Linked DNA regions of Arabidopsis thaliana. The protein of the gene in region 1 interacts with the protein of each later gene in a pairwise test. Each region holds a gene or a part of one and is shown on either strand. Other genes may lie near its edges. The genes, in order: AT5G61865 and HSBP.

The links.
Region 2: the proteins of AT5G61865 (region 1) and HSBP interact in a two-hybrid assay, tested with the Arabidopsis thaliana proteins (one large-scale study listed by BioGRID).

The regions. Positions count from the first base shown.
Region 1 is NC_003076.8:24,843,148-24,854,485, forward strand, and holds AT5G61865 (uncharacterized protein), read left to right. Parts: upstream 1-4,162; 5' UTR 4,163-4,247; coding exon 4,248-4,442; intron 4,443-4,668; coding exon 4,669-4,776; intron 4,777-4,851; coding exon 4,852-4,917; intron 4,918-5,583; coding exon 5,584-6,207; intron 6,208-6,298; coding exon 6,299-6,559; 3' UTR 6,560-6,971; downstream 6,972-11,338. Other genes in the region: LFY (floral meristem identity control protein LEAFY (LFY)), read left to right, coding at 1,148-1,604, 2,063-2,469, 3,376-3,786; AT5G61880 (Protein Transporter, Pam16), read left to right, coding at 7,451-7,453, 7,763-7,850, 7,988-8,115, 8,243-8,365; AT5G61890 (Integrase-type DNA-binding superfamily protein), read right to left, coding at 9,492-9,991, 10,351-10,597.
Region 2 is NC_003075.7:8,983,682-8,994,022, reverse strand, and holds HSBP (heat shock factor binding protein), read left to right. Parts: upstream 1-5,361; 5' UTR 5,362-5,683; coding exon 5,684-5,686; intron 5,687-6,297; coding exon 6,298-6,351; intron 6,352-6,443; coding exon 6,444-6,467; intron 6,468-6,561; coding exon 6,562-6,604; intron 6,605-7,022; coding exon 7,023-7,159; 3' UTR 7,160-7,425; downstream 7,426-10,341. Other genes in the region: AT4G15820 (ABC subfamily C protein), read right to left, coding at 163-889, 976-1,053; AT4G15810 (P-loop containing nucleoside triphosphate hydrolases superfamily protein), read left to right, coding at 1,432-1,561, 1,674-1,849, 1,928-2,030, 2,164-3,214, 3,301-3,945, 4,210-4,861; RALFL33 (ralf-like 33), read right to left, coding at 8,758-9,108; AT4G15790 (uveal autoantigen with coiled-coil/ankyrin), read right to left, coding at 9,954-10,055, 10,189-10,260. UniProt on the Arabidopsis thaliana protein: Negative regulator of the heat shock (HS) response. Affects negatively HSFA1B DNA-binding capacity in vitro. Involved in acquired thermotolerance but not basal thermotolerance. Crucial for seed development, after fertilization and during embryogenesis.

The DNA.
Region 1 (11,338 bases):
ATTAGCTTATGTTTATTTAAAGCAAAAGAACAACTTGTGGCTATATATAGTAGATTAACAATCTCAGACTCAGAGTGCTGATATTTCTTATCATACAAAATTTATCTTCCCCTAACAATACTTCCAAAGCTTATTTAGATAGACATATATGGAATTATGGATAATGGATTCCCTTAAGTTATATGAATCATAGGGGAATATAATTTTAGTAACTTATCGGGCTTCTGCAAAGATTGTGCATGGTACCATGCGTCCATGCCAATACAGTTAAAGTTTACATAATACAAATTTTTACGTATTTCTATATATCATATATGACTTACAGATTATCATAGCTTAATATAGCCAGTATTGCCAACTTTCCATTCGTACCTAGAACTTATAAGAAGATTGGAAAGGATATTAAAATTGAAAAAGACGTAGGTTGGCCATGTATCTTAAGATAGTTAAACGATATCAGCAATCTATCAATAATCAATCTATCGTAACAAATATTTTTGTCATAAATGTATTTGTAGATTTTTTTTTTTATACTTTTAGATGGTTAAATGTTCAAGAAATCTAACCAAATGGTGGAATGGTTCCGTTTGATCGTGCTCTCATGGTACAAACAATGAGACCCCCCAAAAAAAAAAAACCCCCGAGGATGAAATTAAAACAAATAACACAGCTTGAACAAAACATCAAAAACAGAGGATCATCACAGTAAATATTAATACTTGAACAAAACATCAAAAAGATAGGATCATCACAGTAAATATTAATATGCATAAAGAAGAGAATCACCACAGTGAAAACCCTAATCATTTTATATTCCTACGTGTCAAATTATGAATGGTCATAATCAGAGTAGAGAAAAAGAATGTCGATGAAAGAAAAAGTTTGACTTGTTAAGTCCCAACTGTCAATTTCCCAGCAAGACACATATCTTCTTTTACATCACATTACATCTACACATAAATGCTTTATTGCAAAAATAGCGATATAAAAAAAGAATATACAAAAACCTAGTATTTATTTTCTAGATTCTTTACTGTTGTATATATAGAAGTTGCTCGAGTGGTCATTTTTACAATAAAGCAATCTGCTCAAAAGAGTAAAGAAAGAGAGAAAAAGAGAGTGATAGAGAGAGAGAGAAAAATAGATTATGGATCCTGAAGGTTTCACGAGTGGCTTATTCCGGTGGAACCCAACGAGAGCATTGGTTCAAGCACCACCTCCGGTTCCACCTCCGCTGCAGCAACAGCCGGTGACACCGCAGACGGCTGCTTTTGGGATGCGACTTGGTGGTTTAGAGGGACTATTCGGTCCGTACGGTATACGTTTCTACACGGCGGCGAAGATAGCGGAGTTAGGTTTTACGGCGAGCACGCTTGTGGGTATGAAGGACGAGGAGCTTGAAGAGATGATGAATAGTCTCTCTCATATCTTTCGTTGGGAGCTTCTTGTTGGTGAACGGTACGGTATCAAAGCTGCCGTTAGAGCTGAACGGAGACGATTGCAAGAAGAGGAGGAAGAGGAATCTTCTAGACGCCGTCATTTGCTACTCTCCGCCGCTGGTGATTCCGGTACTCATCACGCTCTTGATGCTCTCTCCCAAGAAGGTACAATAATTATGAATACATATAGAAATATCAAATATCGCACGTTTTATAAATATGTGTATATATTGTTCTCAACATTTCTATGCCCGACTTTCAAGAAAAAGTATGTATATGTTCACGTGACTAATATAGATAACTAATTTATGAATCTTACCATATGTATAGTAGTTGCTACATAATTTTATGTTTAAGCTTTTTTTTTGGTTAAATATATTGGTTAAGCTTTTGTTACATAATACAAGATAATATATGTCATATTTAATTTATATGTTGGATATATTTACTTGTATGATATTGATTTAGAGCTACTGTGTGTATAGAGTATGCAGTCATAGTCTGATATTTATTAAATAGACCTAGTGCAAGAAGTACGAGGATTAATGTCATGTACAGGAATTCAAAGAGTATATACGCCTAAACTTGAATAATTTTTTGTGATTGTGACAATTTATATGTAGATGATTGGACAGGGTTATCTGAGGAACCGGTGCAGCAACAAGACCAGACTGATGCGGCGGGGAATAACGGCGGAGGAGGAAGTGGTTACTGGGACGCAGGTCAAGGAAAGATGAAGAAGCAACAGCAGCAGAGACGGAGAAAGAAACCAATGCTGACGTCAGTGGAAACCGACGAAGACGTCAACGAAGGTGAGGATGACGACGGGATGGATAACGGCAACGGAGGTAGTGGTTTGGGGACAGAGAGACAGAGGGAGCATCCGTTTATCGTAACGGAGCCTGGGGAAGTGGCACGTGGCAAAAAGAACGGCTTAGATTATCTGTTCCACTTGTACGAACAATGCCGTGAGTTCCTTCTTCAGGTCCAGACAATTGCTAAAGACCGTGGCGAAAAATGCCCCACCAAGGTATCTTTTGATTTATCTTCTAAGAACTAATCCTGACCGTTCATTATCTTGAAATTTATGTTTCAAACAAAAGTTTAAAAAATGGTGTCGGAAGTTATGGGGTATGGTAGGGGAACTATAGCTATAATCATGGACAGCTGTTCTAAAAGCAAGTTTGACAAATCACGATTTCTCAGGGTTTTCAATTTTTTATTTTTTTTTGCTATGTCTCGCAACAAAATTTAGGTTCTAATTTATTAAATTTTTCATTTTGTTTTCATACTGTCTTCAGCATAAATATAGTTAGATTTCAATTTCAATTTTGACAGTAAACGTACGACAACGTGTCGAGTTAGGGAAAGGACATAGTTGTTTCTTTGTTTTTGGCTATAACGACATGAGATAGTTAGATACGATATACAAATTTTTGCATGCATTCACACATAGTACACATAGATATTATTAGACTTTTTGACAATTAATAGGGATATTTGTTGTATGTATATATTATTATATCTAGTTACAGTCTATTGCTCGGCGGATAATAGAGGGTCCTCTTTCCTCTAGTGATGATAGTACAGAATCCATGAGCTCTGTGCCATTGCTTGTACAGACGCACGTTACTAAGAAAATCTAATTTATTTGTTTTCTTTCTAAATTTGTTATTGGTTCCAATATTTTGATTATTGTGTTGTTTTTATCAAAAACCTTTTTGTTATCTAATTTTTTGGGTTTAGTTAAGTGTCAAGTCTAACAAGGGTTATAAAAAATATCTAACAACTACGGTTATAATTTTGGTAGGCATTTTTTTTTAATCATTGTTTACCGAATTAAAACCAAACTTATTAGGTTTCATTTTTCCTACTATATATCTCATGATAAATGATTTGTTTGATTATATTGATGTTGGGGAAAATGTGTAAATAGGTGACGAACCAAGTATTCAGGTACGCGAAGAAATCAGGAGCGAGTTACATAAACAAGCCTAAAATGCGACACTACGTTCACTGTTACGCTCTCCACTGCCTAGACGAAGAAGCTTCAAATGCTCTCAGAAGAGCGTTTAAAGAACGCGGTGAGAACGTTGGCTCATGGCGTCAGGCTTGTTACAAGCCACTTGTGAACATCGCTTGTCGTCATGGCTGGGATATAGACGCCGTCTTTAACGCTCATCCTCGTCTCTCTATTTGGTATGTTCCAACAAAGCTGCGTCAGCTTTGCCATTTGGAGCGGAACAATGCGGTTGCTGCGGCTGCGGCTTTAGTTGGCGGTATTAGCTGTACCGGATCGTCGACGTCTGGACGTGGTGGATGCGGCGGCGACGACTTGCGTTTCTAGTTTGGTTTGGGTAGTTGTGGTTTGTTTAGTCGTTATCCTAATTAACTATTAGTCTTTAATTTAGTCTTCTTGGCTAATTTATTTTTCTTTTTTTGTCAAAACCTTTAATTTGTTATGGCTAATTTGTTATACACGCAGTTTTCTTAATGCGTTAACGGATTTTAAAACCAATTTGGTCAAACTCAAAAGTACTAAGATACATTTGAGTTAAGAGCACTGAAAATAACCATTCATACATCGAGAAAGAACTGTGAAGGTGTCATCAGTATAATTAATCAATAATGGGCCAGTTTGAGACAAATATATGGGCCTGGTTTGAGACAAATAGATGGGCCGTGGATATATAAACTTGTGTGTCAGAAATTGCAAACGAAGAAAACAAAAGAGAATTTGAGAAACGACTGTTTGAAATTCGAATCCATTTCTCTTCGGACTTGTGTGATAACTGATTTCCTCCTACAATGGAGTTCCCGCCAAGAGCGTTTTATCCACGGAGATTCCAGGCCTCTCCGGCGCAATACACGGCGGAGGAAAGTGCTGCAGCAGTATCGGCGCCAGATCTCCGAGATAAGCTCGCGACACTGGTCGATCGCACCAAGAAAGTGAAAATGGCGTACCATCAACTCCAATCGCAGATCGCGTTCGGCCTTGTCGAAGTAAAGATAAATGCTCTTCTCTAGTTTGTTAGATTCGATTTCTAAGTAGATCTAAGCTTGATTCAAACGAATTTGAGAGAGGTAATCCTATTATCTGGTTTGGTAGATTCGAGCTTGATTTGAACGATTCCGAGTGTTGCGTACTCTTTAAATTGGTAGTTTCAAGCTTAATTTGAACAATTGTGGGTGTTGCAACGAATTTGATAGAGAATTTGATAATTTAAAGGCAGGTGAAGTTTTCGATTCTCTGGCGATCCCTTTGATGAAGTTGGTTGGGCTGAAAACGTCGGAGATGGAGAGTGAAGGGAGACACTCCGCCTTTATTTTCAATACTGTGAGTGATATCAATCATCTTCTTGTAGAATCATGAAATTGCAAATTTTCAGATCATTACTCTAATTTTCATCAGGAAAGGTATCATCATATGGATACTGCACGGTCTGGTGATCTGAACATTCAAATTCGCAGTTCAAAGGTAGTATAGTAGTATACATCATGATTCTTATAACATATGTATGCCTAGTTATAATGAAGACTGAACGTGAACCAATTGATATGATTCTGAAACTGTTATGTGTCTAGGCAAGTGTCATTCTGATGATTCTGTATATGTGTATCCCTTGTTCTACTATAGATGTGATGCGAAAAAAGCAATATGATTCTGAAATTGTAACGGGTCTTGTCAAGCTTCACTTTGGTGATTGCCTATTTAGTATGACTAATTTTACTAGATATTGAATGTGAAACCAAACAATGTGATCCTGAAACTGTAAAGCGTCTAGTCAAGTTTTAGTTTGGTGATTCCTTATACATGTATACCTAATTCTGGTATAGAGTGAATGCAGACTAATAAATATGATCATGAAACTGTGATGTGCCTAGTCAAGTTTCATTCTGGTGATTCGTTATTAATGTTTGGCTAGTTCTGCTATAGATTAATGAGAACCAATAGGGAATATAGTTTAGATGCTGTCTTCTCTACACTTTCTGTTTCAAATTTTAATCAATTGCATCACAAAGCTGTTTGGAAAACCATTTGTACCTTCATGTGGGTTTGGAGCTTGCAGTTAAATATATAATTCTGCCTACTTTGAGTGGATTTCTTCCTCAGAAGTTCATTTGAAGTATCATGATTTTGTAGGAAGAAAACTATGCTGCTAAAGCCGAAACAGCGGGGAAAGAGATCTTGCACAAGCATAAGGGGCAGCTGAGACAGTTAGTTCATATGCTTAAGCACATTGAAACACAGGTGAATTCACATCGGGAAGATATTCTGCAGATGGTTGACGATCGTAGAACCTTCTTCCAAGAATTCATCCAGAAGTCTCTTTATTACCTAAGCTCGGTTCACAGCCAAAACCATGACACTTTCCCTGTCACAGTGAAGCTCCTTCGCGTACTATTTAATAACATCAACGAGGTGCTTGGTTCAGTAGATACTGGAGTCAATGATTTTATGCAGGCTTTAGCAAAGAATATGTGTCACCCGATGACCAAGTACGTAGGCAACTTGGCTGCTGAAATAAAGCATGGCCCTTGTGTGCAACTGATGAATGTAGTGAATGAGATGGAGAGATCAAACTCAGATACAAGGAGAGAGCTACAAGATGCTAGAGAAAGGATTAGACTTGCAGAAGAGACAAAGATCAACGCTTTATCAAAGCTGAAAAAAGCTGAAGATCAAGTTCAGAGGATGACAACATCTGCCAAATTTCTTCTACCCGCGAGTCAGAAGAAACAAGCTGAACATTCTATTACCGGCAAGGTAAAATTTCGATAATGAGTTTTGTTTGTGAAAGCTCAAATGATTAAGTAAGCGCTAAAAGGGTTTTTGTTTCATCCTTTTGTCCATGTAGCGTATAGGCACAGAGGGAAGCCGAGAACACGAAGAGAAACTACTTTGGGAACTACTGAGCAAAAGGAGAAAGCAACAAGAGCCAGAGAGTCCAATGGGACCTAAAGAACTCATCAGACAATCAGACACAAAGCAGAAGACATTGGTGTACAATCGCCGAAGGACTAGGAGCCAAGCACTGTTAAGTTCTCAAACCGCACGCCCTGATGCTTTGATCCCACTTGGTTTGTCACCGTCTGCTAGAACAGTAACCTGGAGGTAAGTAAACTAAAGCACACGTCTCACTCATTGCATCAGAATCTATCTTCACTACGCTTTGAAAAACAATGAGATCCAGTAGCTTCTTTAACACTTAAGCACCTTAAATAAAATACTCGTTTATCTTGTCATTAGTTACACTTTAATAAGTCTTGGTAATTTCTTGAGATGGTGTTTCAACAGTCAGAAACAAAACGTCTTTGTTAGAGTTGCACCGAAACCTTTGTTTTGTATAACTATGGACCCTAGCTAATCCTGGTGACTATAATGATTAACCAACTTAACTTCTAATAAACACAATGATACATACAAACATTATATTTCTAACTACATTGCATAAATCGAACCATCTAATCTGTTATGTTACTGGATACATTGTATCAACCTATGCAAGAGTTTTCGAATGAAAAGTTGGGATGATCAAAGTTTAATTAATCTTCAAAAAATAAATAGTGGGGCCAAAATAGAATTTCTTGAAAAACTTGGGGGTTGTACTTCAATACCCACGTTTTATAAATAGTGGGCTTAACTTTTTACATGTAGGCCCAAATCATCTTCCGACGTCGGTTAGGGTTCTTGTTGATGATATCACCTGAAACTCTGAGTTTCTCTCTCCGCCTCCGTCATAGAACGCAGAACTGGGTGGATCACCGTGGTCGTCAAATTCCTAGCTCCTCGACTCCAAAAAAAAATCATAAACGTATTACCGTCTCTTGTTTTCCTCGTAAGGTTCTCAAAATCGATTATCTTCATTACACTCGACTTGTCTCTGTTTCGAATCCTACGTCGTGTTTTTCTTTTCAGTATTCGGTTACGAGAAATCTTAAACCGTACTTACATTTCAGGTATTATATCGGTCGAAGTCTCCAATCATCGGTCTGAGTAATCTCTGACAATGGTATGTGTAATTTCCCGACCGATTGTTTCTCTAGTTTCAAAGTCCACACTTTTTTTCTGATTAGAGCCAATTTTATTGAAATTTCTTAGAAGCTCATAAAAATTTACAAGTGAAATCATCACTAAAATATTGAGAACTGTTGCTTCTCCATGACCTTGGTTATTTGTAGAGATCCTTAAGTTGAGCTGGTTTTTGATTGAATATTGTTGCATAGGAAATTTTCTTTTTTATTAGTGTATCTTTCAACAAGAAATTGTTCTCAGTGATTGATTAACGTGTATTGAAATTTCTTGAGCATTTGTGTGCAAGGCTGCAAGAGTTTTGGCAAGTGTGATTGTGATGGGCTCTGGAATCATAGCCAGGGCTTGTACTCAGGCATATCGTCAGGCGCTTGCAAGTATGTCTTTTAATTACAATGTTCTTGTTTTCTTTCTGGGCAAGAATGAATTTATCAAAGATTCGTTGTATTGTGTGTGTGTAAGTGTAAGTTACTTTGCGAAATTGTTGATAAACATTGTTTGGAATGGTTTACAGATGCATCAAAAACCGGGGTTGCGCATGAAGCGACACAGACTATTAAGAGAGGGTTGACTATAGGTGAAGCAGAAGCTAGACAGATTCTTGGTGTAACTGAGAAATCATCTTGGGACGAGATTCTTAAGGTTTGTCTTCACACTTCACCCCGGGCTGGCTGTGCAAACGCGAATAGCGGTTTATAGTTTCTAGTTTCTACTGCTGATTGAAAAAAGAGACCCTTATTCTCATTGAGATTATATGTTATGTTTGTAGAAATACGACACGTTGTTCGAACGCAATGCGCAGAATGGAAGCTTCTATCTCCAATCTAAGGTCCATAGAGCTAAGGAATGCTTAGAGACTGCATACCAGAAGAGTACAACAACAAGCGCATGAACAAGCAATAAAACAATAGGAGCAAATCAGGAACATATCTTTTGATACAAGTTATAGTTTTAGGACAGAAGTTTGAAATTGAGTGGAGATAGCCGCAAAAGTTGAAATTGAGACAAGGTCGGTGATGGCCGGAATGCTGCCAGTAACCGACTCACCGGCGTTGTTAAAAGTCTTGTTATTTTGTTTAATAATATTGACTTTTCTAGTTCTTAGGTAAACTAGTTGAATTCTAGCATGTCTATTGAATTATCTGAGTTTGAAAAATCCGTCTACTTCATTTTAATTACCAAATATATTGATCACCAACAAAATCGTAGATAAAACGAACACGTTCCTATTAGTCTACGAAAAAATAGGACTTGCAATTTTTTTTTTTTTTTTTTTTTTTTCATAATTATACATCTTTAGTTATACTTTTTACGATTTTAGTCATGTAGATTCAAATACACTTTGGATTTAGTGGAATACTTCTGTATTTTATTTGATAGTCAACTAAATTGATAGAGTTGCACTAGCTAGTAGCTACTAAACCAAGTGGTGTCTGACTTTGAAGTCCAAGTCCAAGACTTCAAGTGGGTTTAAGAGCGTTTAGCAAAGTTGAATCGATGTCTATTACACGTCTAAGCCGATCCAAACGAGAATGAAGCTTTTTATATATTTTATGTCGAATTGTCGACCGCCGAATTTCGTGATCCACACACTACAATTAATGCTGATTTAGAAAGACTTTTAAAGTCAACTAAATATTACACTATCGATGGTATGAAAGTAGACTACATTAGTATTGCGTTAAAGACTGGTCAAACATCAACGGAACGTAGTTTTCTTTATGGTATTTAATTGCACCATAATCGATACTCTATATTTGCAATCTGTATAATGTATATCAACTATCTAATGCATTTTATCGTGCGTTGAAGTTCGAATCGGTGATGTTATGTTGTCATGTATGTAGGAGCCAAAAACCTCCAAGATATTAACCAAAAAAACAAGAAAACACGTTCAATAAATCTTAACGCGGAAGACAAAAATGACACTCAAAAACATTCAGGAAGCATATGATCATCTCAATTTTGACGGGAAATGTATCATTACTTCATCACAAGTAACTGATCAAATCTCCTAATTAATATCCCGAATGAGGAGAGGAAGAAGAATCCCCAAAGCGCCAGAATCTGGCATAATCTTGCTCTTCTTGTTGCCTAGAAGAGCCACCAGAAGACGAAGAAGTTGTAGCAGCAGTCGTAGTACTATTATCATGAGACATTGAATATCCGGTACCACTCCCATACCCACCGCCCAAATTAAAACTTAGCATATCACCACTACTCGCATCATGATAGTATTGATTATAGTTCGGTATACTTTGTGGTTCCATTTGTGGAATTTGGTTGGAGGAGTAATATGTAGAGTTACTTCCAAGCTGAACCCTCTCCGGGAAATTGAGTTTTGCTTTGCTTCCTTTGAACTTTAGGGCTGCTTCATCATAAGCTAAGGCCGCAGATTCAGCGGTTTCAAATGTCCCGAGCCACACACGTGCCGCCTTTTTTGGGTCTCGGATTTCAGCTGCCCACTTTCCCCATGGCCTTTGCCTTACACCTCTATAATGTCTCCTCCTCAAGTCCCCTTTATTGAAATCACAAAAGTTGAAATCAGAAAATCTTTGGTATGGTCTACTCATACATGTGCATAGTATGTAAACTTTGTATATGCTCATAGTTTATGTGTATAAATATATATCGTCACCTAATATTGGTGCTGAAACCATATACTACCAACAAAATCTCCATGTTAAAAATTACATTTTGGTAATAGCCTAATCGTTTTTTCTTTTGGTAAATGAGTATTGAAATAAACAGTATAATAATAACCTTTTAAGTTTGAGATTTACTTCTGATATGAAATTTGCACATAATTTCAATATATCCTAACATTGTTTCAACCAAAAAAGATTCAAAGATCGATATGAGCATGTATATATATACCTTGGTCTTGATGAGTAGGCGCAACTTGTTGATTAGGGTCTTGTGGATTATACACAGAAGGATAGTTATCATCAATAGAGCTGATGTTATCATGAGATTTGCTTTGTTGGTTTCCGATTACTTGAGTCAAGGCCGAGACCATAACACGCATGTCGTGTTGAGATCGGGCCGAGAAGACCGGGAACAAGTTCTCATCTTCTTCCCTTTCTTCAGATTCATCACCTCCAAAAGGCCTCTTCCCATACATCCGAGGATCTACTTTTGCTTGATTTTCTTTTAAATATAGCCTTTTCTTCCAAAAAAAAAATTTGATATAGGATTTATACAGTACTTTAGGGTTGTTCAGTTTTTCTTTATGGCATCGTTGAACATCAAGAACAAGAGGATGATAAGGAGAAGAAATTAGATTGAAGTAAATGAAGAAAGAGAGAGTAAAGTATTTTTTTGGGGGGGTTTAGCAATTTTCTGAGGCTTTTATAGAGGAATTCGTTCTACGTGTGAACATATGACCTAAAACAAATATGTTTTAAGTTTGATTTTTTTTTTTTTTTTCACATTCTTTCGTATTTAATAATTTCTTATATGTGTTTGTTTCTGTTATCGTATTTAAAAAATATGCTTGTACGACCAGTACGGATCAATGTTTTGTAATGAAGGCATGTATAATGAGAATGTTTGTTAAACTTTTCTTATTGAGGAAAGTGCATGTGTATTTAAATATCAAAAGAGAGGATATTTTATAAAGATTACTATAAAATACTACACGAGATGGGAAAACTAAACATGCAAAAGTGAAAAGAATAAAATAAAGAAGAGAGGAAAATTGCGCATGCATGTTCATGTTTTGTTTAATCATTTATTTTGTGTGAAAAGGGTTTAACACATTCATGGAATTGAGGGAAAGATATAGACTAATAGTGTTTTTTGTCTAAATTATAATTTAAACTATAAAAAGCACTGTCGTGGTCTTAGTTGTATATGTAATTTA
Region 2 (10,341 bases), on another chromosome or scaffold:
TTCCAGTCTACTAAATCTCATATTCATCGCTAGACAATCCAATATCTATTCGGTACATCCCTAACAGCACTATTTGTTCTTCCATATTATCACAACTCATCAATGTACTTAAACAAGACGTTGTTGCAGGATTATGCACTTATTCTAAAACCTACCAGAAACCATCTCGGAATACTGACTCTTGTAGTTGTTCTTCAGGATTCTTCTCACCGTCTCGTGATTCACTAGCACTTCCATTTTTCCCTGTCTTCTCAGTCCCAGACATAATCTCATCACTTCCTTTACTTCCACCAAAGCCTTTTACATTACCCATCGGAGGCTTCTCAGCTTTAAACTTGTACTTCTTCTCAAACATCAAACTTTTCTCATCATTTCCAGATTCATCCAACGGTTCTACGCGCAATCCCGCCAAACCTTTCCTCTGTGAATTCAACCGTTTCTCCATGTTAGACAATCTTGCTTCTATCTCTTTCTCAATATCAATCCCAGTTTCATCATCTTCTTCTTGCTTACCCTCACTTTTACGTGCTTCACGTGCCATCATTCTGATCTCTGCAATCTTCTCATTCATTTCAACATCCTCTAGCAAAACCAAATTGTTACCCTCACTATCACTTGAAACTTCCGGCGTTTTCTCGGATTTCGTTGAGTCTCCCAGAAACAAAACAGCACAAACAGTTTGAAAAGCGAATATTCCGATCAACCACAATCCATACTTCGCTACTAACTTCGGAGAGATCTTAGTTGATATACCATTTACCTCATTTGACACAACCGAGCTACTTAAGACCTGAATCTCCTCTACATCAGAAACTACGTCGCTTGAAGGATCATTTTCCGGCGTTTCGATTCCGATTATGACTGTCTCTTGAGCTTTGGATTTAGGGTTCTAAGGATTTTGGGTCGCAGGTAATTTTCCTTTTGATGACTTCGACAGAACGGAATCGAAGCCGAAGAACACCGGATAACTTTTACAGAAACTCTCCTTCCGGTGGAGTACGACGGAAGGAAACTCGAAGGAGATAAAAAGACGGCGCATCGGAAAACTGCCATGGCTACGGCGGGGATGGTCAGCCACTGAGACTGAGAGTTTCTTATTAGCCACATTGAAAAAAAAAAAAAAAAAAAAATAGTAATAACAAATAAGCCCCAAACATTTTAAAATATTCGTATATTCCTCTTTCAAATTTGAAAGTTTCAATATTGACCCCAAAAGTGAATGATTATGCAAAATCTTTAATTTTGTCTTGAGCCGCCTGTTATGTAGCATCATCGCTCTCACTCTTCTCTGTGGTTGTTTCGTCTTCCACACTATCACTTCCATAGCCACAAAAGCTTCACATAAATCCTAATTAAACCCTAAAAATACTGTTAAAGACAAACAGAAAACTACAAAATACATCTTTTGTATATTTGGAAGCTTTTGGTTTTATGGAATCGGAGAAGCCTGGGATTGTTTCAATTCTCGCTGCAGCAACGGTCGATTCGGAGAAACCTCGCGTTTCAATTTCTGCGGTGAGAGCGATTGCGGCGGCAAGAGCTGATTCGTTTCTTCTCACGCGTACTCTCTCTGGGTTCGTTTTCATCTGCTGGTTCTGTTCCAATTCGTGCACCTGTTACAATTGATGAGGATGATGATGATACTGGTACTGTAACTGATGAACATAACTCAGCAAGTAGTGAAGCTAGTAGTTATAGTAATGGACTTGATTTTGAGACTGATGAAGATGAGACTGTGTTAGAGGATGTGGTTTTGGATGGGGTTAGGGTAGATAGGCTACTAGGGGAAGAGTTAGGTGGAGATGGAAGTGAATTTCAGGTGGGAGTGGGATTTATAGACCATTTGCAGGTGATGTTGACGAGGAAACGTCGGTGAATTACTCGTCTTTGGGAGGAAGATGGTGAGAACAGTGATGAGGTTTGCGAGAGTGAAGTTAGTGGAGATGAAAGAGGTAGTATGAAAGCAAAAGTAGTCATTCCTCGGGCTGTTTTGTCTTTGGATGATGATGAGTTTGATGAAATTTTGGGTAGTATGATGAAGAGGCTGTGCTGTTGGGTGTAACTAAGGCTCCAGGTGATGAAGAAGCTGAAGTTGAAGATAGAGGGTCGCAGTTTGGAGATAAGGGAGTGGTTATGAACCAGAGTGTTCGGATTCTTTTATAGGTGATGTTGATTCTGAAGAGGTGAGAATGAACTATTCAGATAAATTAGATGATGGTTTGATGTCCTTTGGGAATATTGAAGAATCAAGTCTCGGTGTTCCACCAGAAGGTTCTAGTGATTTTATGGCAGAAAATGAAGGGAACTCTAGTGAGGCGAGTATAGAATTGGGTCAAAATTTCAAGCAACTCATCGAGAAAGGGGATAGTAAAAGTACCATCAACAAGGAGGATAGTGGTGGTAGCATTCATGAATTTGACGCATTGATGAAGCCAAGTGATGTAGAAAGAGTAGAAGATAGTGCAGTTGAATTAGCAAAAATGGGAATGAATGATAAACCAGAATACGCAGGTTCTAATATAGGTGAACTTGTATCCATAGAGGAAGTTATGGTACAAGAGAAATCTTCTGACAATGTGTTAGTGTCTTTTGAGAGTAGTCTTGGTGTTATGACAGGTGAATGCAAGGAGTTTCTGGTGGAAAGTGAAGGAAACGCTGTTGATGAGGATAAAGGATTAGATGAAACTGTAAGCAGCCTTGTCGAACAAGGGGTGGGTCAAGCTAGTACCAGCAAGGAGAGCAATAACAGAACTGATGTTGGTAGTGTCTGTGATGCAGATGAATTGATAATTCCACGTGACGAGTCTATTGGATCAGAAAGCAGAGACTCAGGGGATAAAGACGCTGGAAATATGATAGGCAAGGCAGAAGAACACTGTGAAAATGATCGTGGTGCTGTTAGCGAATTAGAAAAACTTGAGTGCGCGGATGAACCTGAAATTGGTATGAGTTCTGAAAGTTTTCAGTTAACTCCAACTTCAGATTCTGAAATGATAATGAACCTTGAGGTCGCTGGAGGAATAGATGTCGTTGTAATTGGTTGTGGTTCTTCCGATCAAAAAGCTGAAGAAGAATCTGAAAATGAAGGAAATCAAGAATCAGACGATACTGATAGGAAGTTGTCACTTCCTGATGAAGATAGAGCATCAAGTTTAATAAGTTCCTTTGAAACAGCCAATGAGACTGTGGAAGATGGGAATCAATTAATAAGCAGGTCAATTTTCAGTCTGATAGCGAAGCAAACCAAATCTCAGTGGGCATAGAAGAAACCAGTTTGCTTTCGGTTAAAGACATTGAGAGGACCATGCCTGAAAACTCTTCCGTAATTGCTTATGATATAATGGAAAATGAGACGATGGCACGGCTGATTCATAATCACACTTTTATGGAGCTTGACGAGTACGAAGGAACAGGTGATACAAGTGAGAAACTCACTGGATCCAGTTTCCAGAATTCTTCAGAACTATTATCCTCTAATCATTCTGTGGAGCTGATAAGTGAGAGAGTGAAGGAAAGAGTTGAGAAGACTCAGCTCTTGAAGGAAAAGCTCCAGAGGATTATAAGAAGAACATGTCTTAGCCGTGAAAATTCAACTGTTACTAAAGTTGCGTCTAAGATGAGCCTAGCTGGTGGAGAACATCCAACGTCCTTAGGGCTTGATCACATGTTTGACGGAACAAAGATAGTGCTGCCTGAACAAGAGTTTCCAGCTGATCTAGACTTCTCCATTAACGTCCTTGTTATCGGGAAAACTGGGGTGGGAAAAAGTGCAACGGTTAATTCTATTTTTGGGGAGACTAAATCTGCTGTTGGTGCATTTGGAGTTACCACTAACTCTGCAAATTATGTTGTTGGGAATGTAGGAGGAATCCAGATAAGTATACTTGATACGCCAGGACTCTTGTCCTCTGCAACTGAGGAACAGTTTAATCAGGAAGTCCTTATGTCAATAAAGAAAAGCATGAGAAAGTTCCCAGTTGATATCACCTCTATATTGACCGTCTAGATGACACTCCAGACATCCGTTTACTTAAAATCATCACCAGTTCCCTGGGCTCGTCAATATGGAAAAATGCTATCGTGGTTCTAACTCATGCAGCTTCCGATGTTGTAGATTCTTTAAGCTACAAGGAGTTTATTTCTCAGAGATCTTCTCTTATGCATCAATCAATCAGACAAGCAGTTCCAGAGTTAAGCTGTATAGACCAGAGCAAGATGCCTAGGAATTGTTCTGGCAGAGAACAACATGAGCTTCTTCTCCGCAAACAAAAGCAGCGAATCTACATGTTCGGATTGGAGATTGAACTTGCTGATCTTATGTTGCTCAGTTAAGATCCGGTCTAAAGCCGGTTCTTTGCAAAAGCAGAATACCGATGTAGAAAAGGCCGGTGTCTTTGGCTCCCAGCTTAGCTCTTTCACTCTATTCTGTTCCTTGTGGAATGTGTTACTTAACTCAGGGCACACTTCTCATTCACATGATGATTTGGAGGAGAAGAAAAGGAAATTACTGGATTCTTACCCTGAAATTATATGGGACGAACAGAGTCAAGAATGTCTCGAGCAAGAAACACTTCTCGTGGAGAATCAAGAATCAGAAGACGTGGAGAGACAACATGAAAAAGGAACTGTACTTGGTCGTGTAAGAACCAGAAGAGGAAGACTTGGATTCCAAGCAACAAAAAGGTTCGGTATCTATCTAGATACATCTGATGTGCACGCAGGGTTTTCCATTGGAAGCCGAGACTGTAGAAGAAATGTACAAGAAGAAGGGAAGATCTTGGTGAGGATGAGAGGCTCCATGTCTGTTTTAGGTTTGGTTCCTATGTTGATATCCGTATTCACTTCTGGAAAAGATATTTAAAATTGGAATTTGCTCTTGTTGTAGAAGTTGTAACATATCAGATGTGATCGTCGTGTCTTTTGTATTCCATTGATAATACACGAAAATTAACTATATCAAATACCAATGGTGTGAGGATAAGCAACATTTCACTTGTCTCCTGATTGTCTTGTGGTCAGGTTTGTTACTTCTTCCTCTATTGGGTTGTGGAGGATTAGAATCTCTCACATGGAGATAAGATGCTTATGTATGTCTTTTGGTTGTAATCATATAATTATATAAATCATGTGTTTCATTTCTCTTGTAAAATCATGATAGTGTTCAACAACCTCGTTAATATATCTATTGATGGTAAGAAACAAATAGGCTGTTCCAAATCTACATACTTCAGTCATCAATGTGTCAGGGTTTATGCCATTAGTGAGATAAGTCGTTATACAACACAATTCGAATTGGTCTGCCTTTAATCATCAAGAGGAACAAAAAGTTAAGCCAAATTTACAAATAAGATGATTACAAATAAATGTTTGCAGATTTGAACATCCACAATAATGATTTGAATCATCCTAAGATCTAGATCTCAATACCAAACGTACATAAAAATATTTGAAATTTGAATCACACACACATGATCCCACCCAATCGAATCATAACGATAGAAACTAAAGTAAAGAGGGGGCATTTTGGACATTGTATACCTATAAGGTTGGGGTTAACAGTAACAGCGTTTCTCTTCTCGTTTTATAAACATCGCATCACTCTTCTCCTCCGTCGTCTCTCATCGCTTTTCGCTGAAATCAAAATTTCTCCAGTTTTCCGATCACTCGCAAGAAAACCCTAAAAATGGTAAATATCCGCCTCCTAATATCATTGCGCTTTTTCGATTTTGCGTTTTCGTTCACGAAACCTAGGCTCGTTTATTCGGATTTGTCGATTGCATTTAAGGATATATCTTCGGATTAGGTTTTTTTACGGTTTAGTGGGAATCTCGCATGATATTCTTATGGTTGTTCTGTTATTGTAGATCAATTATCGAAATGTTGAGTTTATAGTGAAATCTGGACGATTTAGAGCATCTTTTGCTGGGTTACAATAAGATTTTGCATTTGCTCGATTTTCTGTTTTCATCTGTGGATTTTGAACTTGTGAATTCGGCTTTTCAAGAACTCTAGTATCGTGAAGTCCAGGATCTGATGGGGAGATTCAGTATAAGTTAACTTTTTCGTCCTTTTTCTTACTTAGAAATGTTCATGTATCGAGTTTGCTGTGTGTAATGCTAGTAGTACTAAGAAAGTTCAGATAGAAATATTCTCAATGGGCAATAGTTCATGCTTGTTTCTTTCCTTGTAACAATTTTTTTTCGTTAGTATAAAGCTTCAATTTCTTGTCCTGATGATTGTTATATTTACTGTGTCTTTGAGTTTCTTCTTACAGTTTTTTTTTTCTTTTGCTGACAGGATGGTCATGATTCTGAGGATACTAAGCAGAGCACTGCTGATATGACTGCTTTTGTGAGTATTCTCGTTCTCTTTGTTTGGTATTTTTGTGACTTTGAGACAATTTCACTTGGTTTATCACTGAATCCTTGAATTTTTATATGCAGGTCCAAAATCTTCTCCAGCAGATGGTAGGTTTTTCAGCTTTTATGTCTTCGTAGGCCTTGGAATTATACCTTCAATAGGTAGATTTTGATTAAATTTGGTCACATTTGTGTGTTTCAGCAAACCAGGTTCCAGACAATGTCGGACTCCATCATCACAAAGAATATCCTTATATCAATCTGTGGTTTTACTTGAGTGTTGCTTGAAGTAGAATATATGAAATGTTTCCCTCCTAGAACCAGTAATGATGATTGATTATTTGTGTCTTCAAGGAAAGAAGTTTAGTACTAGGTATTGAGAATTATCATTAGAATCTGTCTATTTTTCTGATTAAAGTATTTCTTGAGAGTCTAAATGTCTATTCTATGGGTAGTAGCACATGGTTCTATGGTATTTTCTCTTGTTAAGTTGCTATTATATGCATGCTTGTTCTTCTGCTCGCTATATATTCTAAACAAAAGCAACTTTATCACCATGAACTGATACAAGTTTGTAATCTGTGGTAACTCTTTGATCAGCAATCTTGTGTTCATGACATTGGTTTTGATCTCCTTGACTTTGATTTTGATTTGATGGTTCACTTGATGACATGGGAGGCAGAATCAATGAGCTGGAGCAAAGCATCAATGATCTAAGAGCCGAGATGGGAGTAGAAGGCACTCCTCCTCCAGCCTCCAAATCAGGCGATGAACCCAAAACACCGGCTAGTTCCTCTTAAAAAGGAATGTGGTGTTCATTGACATGTCCGAAGGAAAAAGAAAAACTATGAAATATGTTAAGAGCAGGCAGTATTACTTTTAAAATTCCTGTTTTAAGAAACGAGTTTGTTGTTTATTAAAGTTCATCAAATAGATTGATGATGTGGTGCATTACATTATTCTCCACCTATGAATTGCATTTCTATTTTGGTCTTGAGAGAACTAAGAAGTCTTCTTATGCTCCTATAATTCATATTACTGTCGATACTTAAACGCAACTTATCAGGGGGAATAGACAAACCAAGTTCATTGTTCCATTTTTGGGTTTGATTCCGGTTTTATTTTTTCAGATTTTGAATTTAGAAAAGGTTAAAGTATAGGAGCCATAGTTAGACTGATCGATTTATCAAAATCGAATCTCATAGCTGTATTAGGCTTTGATTATTTCGCATTTGTGTTTACATGAAAAAGGTCGGTAGAAATTTTTTAACAGTCTATTTTTGCCCAATGTGAATATATTTTCAAAGAGGATATGTTTAGCCTGCGTTTACAACTAAAAACAAAAGTTGTTTAAAATGTTGAAAATTGCAAGGTTTCAAAGAAACACACTAGATAGAAAAGTAGTCACAAGACTATCATTATCGAATAAATCAATAAACAACTGGTGATGAGTTGGTTTATGCTTGTCATGAGGTATGAGTTTGCGGTCCAAAACCCCTTTTCTCCAAAACTTTGGTTTTTATTTCTCTGTGACAAAGCCCCTTGAGGACCCCGGAGGAGCAAATAAAGTGTATCTTCGAATATCAATGCTTTGTTATTTTGTTTTGACTATTTTTTCTCCAAATCAGCCTCCCTCTAATTATGGGGAGTAAATTTAGTGTCTTCCCCCTATTTTCTTTTCTCATCATCTTTACATTGTGTAACGTTTTCTTCTCTTTTGAGTTTTGACAATTTTTCTCCTCCAAGTGGCTCCATGACTCAGATTCTTTTGACATATTGCTGATAGACTTTAATGTAATTTGTATTAGTTTTAAATAAATGAATCGAATACATAAGATTATAAGAAGAAGAAAAAAACGTAATAAATACGCCACGTGTGTGTGGTTTCTGGCGAAAGTATTTGCCATGTGAAGCTGCCCCTTTAGTTGGCCCCAACCAAATACCAATTATTGCCTCTTCTCTTATTTTCCCACTTCTCCACATTTAATACTATTTCTCTTAATACACTATCTCATTATTCAACCCGATAAAATAAGGAAAATACCAAATTTGATTTCTTCCCCAATCATACAAATATTTCCCTTCATACAAAAAAAAATGAAACAACTACAATTTTAATATCCATATAAATTCCAATATGAACACCTGGTTTTTTCTTCAGCACATGCAAAAAGCACCCATACATAACATTTGATATATTAATCAGAAATGTATAATACATCTATATATATTTCTGTTCATATATCAAACTTATATTGAGACTGTATGAAACTATATTGCAATGCAAAGTATAAACATAGTAAACACCAATCAAAACAAATAATAATCTGAAAAATTGTATAAAAATCAAAACAAAAGAATTTGAGAGTAAAAATTTTAAAGTACATAGAGAAAGAGATTATCGCCTGCAACGAGTAATAGCGCTACAGCCACGAGAGTAAGGATTAGCCTGAGCTCCACGTCGGCAATTGTAGTAAGATGCGCCGCGTCGTGAGCAAGGAACTGTGTTTCTCCTCAGCGCACCGTAGCTTATATACTTCGTTGTTGCTAAAATACGCCTGTTGATCTCAGAGTCCATCTCGAACTCTTCCTCCGCCGTGGATAAGGAGCACTCGGCGATGGTACCGTTGCATTTCGACTCGATCGGTACGAAATCGCCGGAGGATTGGGAGGTTACGGCGGCGAATAAGAAGTGGACGGTGAGAATTGCGATGATTATCGCAACGGGTTTTGTGGAGAGTCCTCTCATTGTTTCTTTCTTCTTCTTTCTCTGAGGTTTTTTTTTTTGGAGGTTTCAAAAGTTTTATTGAAGAAAGAGAAAGAAATGGTTTAAAAGAGAATGAGTTATTGAAATTGCCACTAGGATTTATATTATTTACGATTTATGCCACTTGACACTAAAAGTTGTTTAACGCGCTTTTCCCACTAAAGTCTAAATTTTCGTTTTTGACTTTTTATTTTTTATTAAATTAGGATAAGAGATGAATGACAATATTATATGTGACGCATTTTACTTGAATATGCTACCAACTAAATGAAAGAAATTTTATATAAGGCTCGAATTTGAAATTAGTGGAATTGATAAATTTTGAATGAATGAAAAGAATTTTGCCCCCCAAAAAAAAAGGAATGAAAAGAAATAAGATGAATATATATATATATAAAAAAAGCTTGGTTGTTGGTTCATTGATTGATCGATTTATTAAAATTAAAAGCTTCTATGTTCTTTGAATTTGGAGAATGCAAATTATGATCAACGAATTATTCGAAATAGGTTGGTTTTGTATTCTAGACCAAACCGGTTTGTTCATTGGTTTATGGAAATTTCTGAATATCTGATTTGGGAGCTTCATTTCACAATTTCACTCTATCATGGTGTCAAGAACAGAGGAGGAAGCTCGGTTTTGAGATCTGTACACGAGTTGGTTCTGTATCAACTTGTTGACATATCAATCTGCAGCAAACCATTGTGTCATGGTGCATCATTAGAATCAACTAAACCGCGGAACTACATATTAAGCATACTAGTACAATCTCAAGGTAGTGGTAACAGTAGTGGCGAGAATATCATAAGAACAAACAATTTCATATTATCTAATGTTCTGCTTCTTTGGCATTATCATCAGTCGATAGAGCTTCCACTTTCTCTTCTGTCACCTCACTTCTCTTATCAATTTGCTCTTTTGAATCTTGTAGCTGCAAAGCACAAAACAGATAATCGTGGAGGAGAACCATAGATTAGTTTCTGCAAGTCTAAAAACCGGTCTTTTCTTTGGGTTATAATATTGAAAATACTTTTAGGAAGAAGAGTGTATCACGAGAGACTCACGCCTAAGCTTTTCAGGCTAGCGGAAACATCATCTTGCTGTTGATTCAAGGTAGTTTTCAGATCTTTGAATTCCTAGTTTTTATGGAGACAAAACGAATCAAACATGTATCATGAATAGAAACCGTTTAAATATTCATGTGGCTGCTGGCTCAA